2 linked regions of the Bombyx mori genome follow. Each later gene encodes a partner of the first gene's protein in a complex. Links are inferred from orthologs where the notes say so. Each region holds a gene or a part of one and is shown in the gene's direction. Other genes may lie near its edges.

What was found.
Region 2: the proteins of translation initiation factor eIF-2B subunit delta (region 1) and eukaryotic translation initiation factor 2 alpha subunit are in contact, whole or in part, in a cryo-EM structure (PDB 6O81), measured with the Homo sapiens proteins. The link is inferred for Bombyx mori from reciprocal best matches to the Homo sapiens genes EIF2B4 and EIF2S1. Residues at the interface, in NP_001029288.1 of Homo sapiens: Asn245, Glu246, Glu247, Arg250, Thr285, Ser520, Ser521, Asp522; in NP_004085.1 of Homo sapiens: Met30, Tyr33, Met45, Arg55, Arg57, Arg75, Glu79, Lys80, Tyr82.

Annotation. Positions count from the first base shown.
Region 1 is NC_085111.1:2,905,994-2,910,442, reverse strand, and holds the start of translation initiation factor eIF-2B subunit delta, read left to right. Parts: upstream 1-1,528; 5' UTR 1,529-1,870; intron 1,871-2,037; 5' UTR 2,038-2,057; coding exon 2,058-2,060; exon of another isoform or gene 2,061-2,121; intron 2,122-3,247; coding exon 3,248-3,997; intron 3,998-4,318; coding exon 4,319-4,449. UniProt on the Homo sapiens protein: Acts as a component of the translation initiation factor 2B (eIF2B) complex, which catalyzes the exchange of GDP for GTP on eukaryotic initiation factor 2 (eIF2) gamma subunit.
Region 2 is NC_085126.1:6,530,245-6,534,825, reverse strand, and holds the start of eukaryotic translation initiation factor 2 alpha subunit, read left to right. Parts: upstream 1-1,469; 5' UTR 1,470-1,631; intron 1,632-1,777; coding exon 1,778-2,015; intron 2,016-2,322; coding exon 2,323-2,551; intron 2,552-3,421; coding exon 3,422-3,654; intron 3,655-4,255; coding exon 4,256-4,371; intron 4,372-4,581. UniProt on the Homo sapiens protein: Member of the eIF2 complex that functions in the early steps of protein synthesis by forming a ternary complex with GTP and initiator tRNA. This complex binds to a 40S ribosomal subunit, followed by mRNA binding to form a 43S pre-initiation complex (43S PIC).

The DNA of each region.
Region 1 (4,449 bases):
TCAAAATTTTGATTTAATACTATTGTATTAAATCAATTTTTTTATTATTATTGGATAATTTAAATATGATCATTAAAAGCCTATATAAAATCTGCTCACCCAATTAATTGTATGAAGAAAACTCTTCGTTTGCGCGTAAATTTGATTTATTTAGTGATTATTTAGCCTTTATGGAAAAAACCTAAAAATACCTTAAAAAAACCGGTAATAAACCGGAGCCAGAAATTGTAATCGGTTCACATCCCTAATCTGAGGTGTCAAATAATTTCTGAAACACTAGATTATCCAACAAACTGAGCTAAAAATATAACATAATCTGACTTATAACCCCTCTTTCCACTCTTTATGATTAGACTGCAACTAAGTAGAGCGAGGTCCAAACATAACTACCAAAATAATACACTTAATACATATTTAAGACTTAACTACCTTGCCTACACTTTGTTTTTTTCCTACCTAAGCTGATGGTCTTGGGAGGCCATTTCAGCGTAACCCTAACAAGTAGGCGAGTTCACGGGGTCACGGGGCTCAAACCTGACGACATTGCTAAAACTAACCCCAGCAAGAGCCGTGCTTCGCAGAATCTACCACCGGGTCGGCAATGCGACCCACTGAGAAGATCCGGCGAGAAACTCAGTGGGCTGTGTCTGTCTGTGGATTAAATTACTCACCGAGCCCTTCGTCGCAAGTGACGGGTTCCACGAGAACGATGACCGGTGCTTGGGGTACCTAAAAGCACCGTTATTGGATCGGGAGGATTCGAAATGACGTGTTTTGGGCGACGTCGACTGTTTACTATTCGATCCGCAGGATCGCGAATGTAATTACCGGCGGCCACGATGAGAGGATTCTCGTGTCGTGCCGCTTTTTCGAAATGGACACATATTGCAAATGCTTAGTTGTCACTGACTATAGCCAAACGTGCCACGCGCTAAAGTATTTCTTTAGGTATTCTAAAACATTAATGATGGACATATTCTAGAAACACCGTCAAGGGGAGTTCATTCATAAACCAGATAATACCGAAAAAGATCTCTGGAAACGCACGCATGATGGATAAGCGCAGTGCTTTGCAGTAGTAAGATTATTTGGGGAGACATTCGGGGGGAAAAGTTAGTTGGGAGTATCGGAGGTTTTTTGAGTCTACTATACTATTCACAAGTCAATATTATAAAGGACAAATTACGCAACCGAATGGCAATAGAAAGTGCGGAAGCGGTTCTCAGGATTCGATATTCACTGCCAAATGGATGCATTTTTGTTCCCACATCGGACATGTTAAAAATCTTTACGTGTATGCTTTAAATAATAATAAGAAAAGTGAATATGATTGTAATAATTTTTTATTGATTAAAAAATAAAGGAATATGTACTTTTGGGGTTTTATTTCTTCTTTAAAATAAGTAAAAACTGTCTTGGGTTTTTTTTTTAAAAAGCTCATTTCCAGAGGTTTTCGAAAGAAGTCGGGGTGAAATTCACACGGACATCTGACAGCACTGCTTCAGAGCGTAGATAATACACATAATGTTCAGAAAAATATTGAAGTTTCAACATTTAAACTTCAATTTCTTCGGATTTTTCGTAAACTGTCAATGTATGTAGTATGTATATTGTTTTAGGTAAATCAACAGAGATCCAGTCATCAAACATTCTTAGCTACTCACTTAATTCTTAGTGAATATCTGTGACCTTGCTCGTTCACGAAGCCCGCTATAGAAAGCAGAGTATTAAATACACTTGACATTGGCGAAATCTAAAAGGAAACGCCATAAACCTAAGAGATAGATAGATAGATAACCTGTCAATTAATAAATATTACAGTGTTTATATGCAATAGATTGATCATTTGTGACCTTAACATACCTCATTGGTAAGTAAATTAAACACTGTACGCATCTTTAAACGTTTGTGTGAATTTTTTAAGTCTGCAAAAGTATTGTTCAAACAAATGCATTTTATTAATATGCACAATTCGCTTACGTGGACTAGGATAACTAATAACTGAAATGAAATATCTAATTTTAATATCTTTTATAGCTTTCCAAGGAACAGAAAAAATGGTAATGTCTTAAATGTACAGATTTTGTATACGATTTATGAATAGAAATATTGCACTTTGAGGTTAGGTTTTATAACTATATCAACTTTTATTACAATCAAAAGTAAAAAATAAACTCATGTCTGTTTTTAATTTATTAAAATATATCATCATATTAAACAAGATTTTTTACAATAAGTAGTAAATTATTTTCTGGCATGATACAATATTAGAGCTACAGAGTGCAATATAGTAGCTATTTTTTGTATTTGTTTTATTGCATCGATAACCACTAACCAGTAGACTAGATCACGCGTAGCTTACTGTGTAGTTCCTAAATTAGCTTAATTGAATGCCCTGAGTAAAAGAGGAATGGAATTTTTTTAGATATTAGTTTAGATGTGTAAACTTTTCCACAGCCATCTGATACCAGTAACTAGAACCTATAGACAAAACAAAAAGAATGCTCTTAAGTACTTGGAAACATAATCTTAAAATTGAATTTTCTGAATATATTATTACTGTGAACTGATGATAAGCCAATAGAAAGTAATTTATGTTTGAAGTGTTGTTTGTTTCTCAATGTAATAATTAATTAGTGGCATTTACTAATTCCTGTGGTATACAAAATCTTTGTATGATTAAACAAATACTATTACTTATTAAATTAATGTACTAACCATTAAAAGTAATAATTATTTTGTAGCACCATTTAGTTTTGCGAAGTGGTTCTAGTTTATATATTACGTTTATCTCTTATTTTCATATTCAATTTATTCAATTTTATCCAATTTTATCTTCATTTAACACTTGGTGAAATAAAGCAATAAAAAAAATTTTTTTTTAAACCATTAGATCACAGTATAATGTAATATCAGAATATGAATCACAAGACTTGTACTGTTCTGAATTATTTTTGAGTTTTTATTACTGTTGCTTAATGTTGTCAATGTTGCTATGTCTATTTTAAGTATAGTGCACTTTCCCTATTGAGAATTGCATATTTCAAAGAATATATCCATATTATTATAATGATTATATGGAAAGAACCATCATAGTTGAAATTTTGACCTCATGACTCAAATAGAGATTATGACATTCACATATCTATGTTCTAGTAAATATGTAACAACAGCACTTAATTTGCAATTTAAATAAATGAAAGAAAACACATTTGAATGGTAACTAATAAATATGTTGATATGGTAGGTAGATGCTGAAAATTATCTGGTTCAACCTGAGAAACCTTTCACTGCAACTCAAAGGAGAAGAATTAGAAGAAATAGATTAAGATTTGCCAAAACAGACTGTGTAGATATCCTTTGTACGATAAATAAAATACAAAACAAAACAAAAAATAATCCTGAACAAGGACATATAGCAGTAATTGAAAATAATAAACAAGAATACAAAGTAGAGGATGCCCTCCGCTCAGTAGTCATAAAAGATTTTGACGAAAGTATATTACAAAAGATGTCTTCTAATGAAATCCCACCAAAGTCTAGAGATGAAATTAAAGCTGCTCGACAGGCAAAAAAAGCTGCCAAACTAAAAGTAAACAACAAGACCACTGAAAATCCTCAACTGACAAAAGAAATAGAGAATCTTAATGAAAACAACATAAATTCTAAACCTAAAGTAGAAAGCACAGATGAAGTAGACAAATCTGTTGTAATAAATCCTAATGCTGTAGATATAAGTACTAGTAGAGAACAGATCAAAGCAGATAGAGCTGCCAAGAAATCTGCCAAACAGTTAAAGAAAAAAGGAGCTGCCGATGGTGAAAGTAATGTGCAAAGCTCTGTAAAAAAAGAACTTAAAGAAGATGATTCTGTGAAACAAAATGAAGATATGACTGTAAAAGATGTTGTTGAAACTTTAAAAAACATAGTTAGTGTTGCCAAGGAGGTTAATGAAATTACGACAAAAGTAAGTGCCTTGGATTTGGGAGGTAAAAAGGTAATTATGTGGATGAAATAGTCATCCTTTTTCGATATTAAACTACATTAACATTGCTTCTAAATTCCTTGAATGACATTCCCAATGAAATTGAAATTATATTTGATGTAAGCTTATTTAGAACAAGAGGCTTAAAATTTGTTTACCATACTTGAATAACAAAATACAACAATAAAATTTATAACAGATATATAAACTCCATATTATGTTGCACTATATAAACTCAGAGTAACTGTGATAATATATTGTCTTTTGAATATTCGTTTAATAGATATAGTTTCGAAAACAGTGTTGACATTACTAACAATATTGATATTGTAGCAAGAAGAGACAGGCAAGAGTAAAGCAGAACTTCGGGCTGAACGACGCGCCAAACAGGAGGCTCAGAGAGCTGCCAAACAAGCTGCCGAAAAAAAAGTAGTCAAGCCTAAACTTGAAGCTCCTACAGTAAA
Region 2 (4,581 bases), on another chromosome or scaffold:
CCTCATTACCATCATCTACCGCTAAGGTGTTTTTAAAACATTCATTTATAAATAATGTGATAAACTATTGCAAAGGAAATACCGAGAGTCAAAGTTCATTTCAGAGACTGGCAGTACTGGCAGAGTACTCAATCTTTGGAAACCATTTTTTTTATTGCTTAGATGGGTGGACGAGCTCACAGCCCACCTGTTTTTAAGTGGTTACTGGAGCCCATAGACATCTACAATGTAATTGCGCCACCCACCTTGAGATATAAGTTCTAAGATCTCAATATAGTTACAACGGCTACCCTATCCTTCAGACCGAAACGCATTATTGCTTCACGGCAGAAATAGGCAGGGCGGTGGTACCTGCTCGCGCGGACTCACAAGAGGTCCTACCACCGGTAAAATACTAATAATAATCGGTCTAACTACTCCGGTTATGGGATTGTAGAAACAGATTACAGAAAAATCTCAAACAGTTCTCCGCATCATGATCAGAACTGGAATAACTATTATTATACACCTAAATTAAATCCATATAGTTTATAGATTTGTTTTTCTGACCATACTAATTTGCTGCAGCGTAAATTAGCAAATGGCCAATAGTAAAATGACATTGTCAAGGATGCGTGAACGCTTACAAATATGCTATCTTCCCGGAATAATCGAGACGTAATCTTCATATTGTATGCGGAATGCGATAGGTTCATAAGAGTTTTAATTGATGTTAATTGTTGTGACAAATAACGCACGTATGCTTAATGAATTAGGCCAAGTATATGTGCGTTTAATATTTTCTTTTATTATTTATAAAACCTCACATAAGGATTTTTAATGCTCTAATGAACCTACGTCCATTTATAATTAAGCCGTTATTGGAGCCCAGAAACCTCAGGAACAGTAACTTTGGGGTGCCTTGAGGCTCCCTTGACCTCTAACACTAAGTAGGCCAAAGGAACCGCCCGTTTCATCAACTAAAAAATATATTTGAAATTGTTCAAGTCAATAACGATCAATTGAATATTCAAAGTCAATTGCGGAAACTTTGTTCTATTGAACAGAAATAGGAAAGTCGGTCAGTAATTTAATTATGTATTCAATACAATTGTTATAATGACTAATGAAAGTCCAACTTTTTTAAACGTAACTTCGACCAAAAATTCATCAATTACGGTTTTTAAGAGACCTGATACAATATTTTACGATCAGATGCCCTTTTTTACATTTTAGCCATCGTTAAACTTGCCTCTACGGGCCTAAACTTGAGTCCACTTCTGGTGAATATGAGCTGAGCGGATAATTTCAGAGAACATTAATAAATTCTAATTTAAATATGTCAACGGGTTTTGTTGCAAGTCCCGCTACACCAACACAATGGATCATACACTTAGTATTTAACATCCAACACCCAACCTTTACGACACGACTACCGCTACGTTTCATTTCACGCAAATACATTTCAACAAAGTTGATACAATAGACTTTGACTTTTTCTAATTTGTGACAGATGTCACACAACGCAAGCCCAGACAGAAGGACATGAAGCAAACGCTGAATTTCGTCAACGTGAACAAGTTGACTGTTTCATCATATTCTTTCTTTATCTAATATTTAACAGACAAAAACGAATTAAATAAATACACAAGGTAAATTAATACTGTATTCTCAATAATTAATACCAGAATTTGTGACACAAAGTTTTCATATAGGTTATAAATATTCTCAATAGTAAATACCAGAATTTGTGACACAAACTTTTCACATAGGTTATAATAAAATCAAATTATTCTAGATGCCTTTGTCGTGTCGATTTTATCAAGAGAAATATCCGGAAGTTGAAGATGTGGTGATGGTGAACGTTAGATCCATCGCAGAGATGGGAGCATACGTCCACCTTCTAGAATACAATAATATAGAGGGCATGATCTTGCTATCTGAGCTTTCCAGAAGACGTATCAGATCCATTAACAAATTGATCCGAGTGGGAAAGACTGAACCGGTTGTCGTAATCAGAGTGGACAAAGAAAAAGGTTAGATATTGTTTAAAATAATAATAAATTTTTTTATAAAATTGCACTCCATTTTTCGCTTCAGTAAAATATTACCATTTGTGCTTTGGAAAACAGGAATTAAACAAACCAATATTGTCATAAACTAATTTATCAAATCAATGTTTTATCCACTCAGTCCTCAAAGCCAATGGGTTAATATTGACATGTCATTCTCTGTATTAATAACAAAGTACACATTTAATTGAAATATGATATGACAAACTAGCACCAATCACCAATATTCCAAATGATCGCTTTTAATTTTGTTATTTCCTTCAATTCACAGGATACATAGACTTATCGAAACGTCGTGTATCTGCTGAAGATATATACAAGTGCACAGAACGCTACGCAAAAGCAAAAGCAGTAAACTCGATCCTGCGACATGTAGCAGAGCTCCTCCATTATGAAACTTCTGAGCAATTGGAAGAACTTTATAAAAAAACAGCTTGGTACTTTGAAGAGAAATATAAGAAGAAAGCCTCAGCATATGACTTCTTCAAACAAGCAGCTGTGTAAGTGTACATCTTGAGTTAAAATGATAAGGTTGGTGCTTATGTACCCCCAATTGTGGGGGCTTCGTAGGAGGTTTGGCCCCCAGACTGAAAAAAAAAAGAAAAAGGGTGCTTGTGTAATTATCATTATGTCCAAATGGACCAAAAAGTCAATTTAGTGTAGAATGAATACTACTTTTGCTTTCTTCAGCTCTCACACTCTGCACTCAGAAACTATCACACTTCAATAGGACATGAATTACTGTGTACTAGTCAGCTGCTCACAACCTTATGTATTTGTGACTTATATATTTACTAGGGCTTCCTATATGTTACCCTTGAGTAACCCTTCCCTCAAATTTCTCTAAACACTGAGCTTTACACAGTTTGAGTGTTGCAGTGGCTCAGTGCACTGTCTAACACAGCCTTTCCCAAAGTGGGCGATAACGCCCCCTTGTGAGCGCTGCAGGCCGAAAGGGTAATAGACCCAGAAAAAATGGGTGTGTAGAGGCTTGGGAGGTGATTTGTAATTTCATCTAGGAGGACTCTTAGACACAGACTCAGTTCTCTCTATAGTGGTTTTTAAGAAGATGAAAAAACGGGGGCACTAGAATATAATTAATTCTCAAAGTGGGCAGTAGACAGAATAAGTTTGGGAACCCCTGGTCTAACAGATTTGTGCTGCCAGTCCGAAGGTAGGCTAATTAGGTAGTTTAATTATCTCTATGACTATGAAAACTGAAGAAAATATTATGAACCATTAATTTTGAGAAAAAGAACTGACCTTAATCTTGTGAAATTGAAATATGTTAATACACAAAATAAAAAGTGCTATATTACCTAATTGGAACAAGAAGAAAGTTGTTTCTATGCAATATGTTAATGTTCCAGAGACCCATCAGTACTCGATGAATGTGGCTTAGATGAAGAAACCAAGGATGTCCTCTTAGCTAATATTAAAAGGAAACTGACCTCGCAAGCAGTGAAGATTCGTGCTGACATTGAGTGTGCTTGCTATGGTTATGAAGGCATTGATGCTGTACGAGCAGCTTTGAAAGCTGGTCTAGCTCTGTCTACAGTGGACATGCCAATCAAAATTAATCTTATTGCCCCACCTTTGTATGGTAAGTGTTTGATTTAATTTTCGTTTTTAGATATATTTGCACTAGATACTTTGTGTATGATAGTGTATGATAACAGCGCATCCTAAAAAGATTTGAATGTCCTAGAAAGATGGATGGACTATTTGAGAGAATATGCAAGAGAAGGGTATGGAGTTTAGAGTATGTTCTGATCACACTGTAGGATAAGTCCAAGAAGAAGATGATTGATGGACAGAAATATTGGTCATTATGTACTCCAAACCACAATGGTAGACTTATAGTAGAAATCTGCAGGTATAATTTTAGTATACACAAATTTCTTTATTAAATTTCATTAATTGTATAGAGGGATAAATGAGCTCACCCAGTGTCAAGTGTTTACCGGAGCCTATATATTTCACAATTTGAAAAACTCTATTTAAAGATTTTTTTTCTTAACTGAATTGCCCTTGTAGGCAGACGAGCATACGGCCCACCTGATGGTGAGTGGTTACCGTCGCTCATGGACTTCAGCAATGCCAGGGACAGAGCCAAGCCGCTGCCTACCGAAAATTATTACATAACTTGATTACTGTATGTCTCACTAAGCAAAGTATAATCATTTAACTAAGGTTTCTTACAGTAATGACTACCTCAACTCCTGAGAAGACTGACGGTCTCAAAGCATTACAAGACGCAATCGACAAAATTCAAGAGAACATCACAGAAGCAGGTGGAGTCTTCAACATTCAGATGGCGGTAAATTCTCAAATTCCTATTTATACAACTTTATTGGTTTAGCTATATGTTTCAATATGAAAAAGATTGCTAAATTTATAAATAAACATTTTGAATTAAAGCCTCCGAGTCATCTGCCAAGTAACTATTTAATAGTATGTGAATTTTGAACTTGTCTGTTCAGTATGATATTTTATTACATAAACTATGTTTTTTTTTATATATCAAATT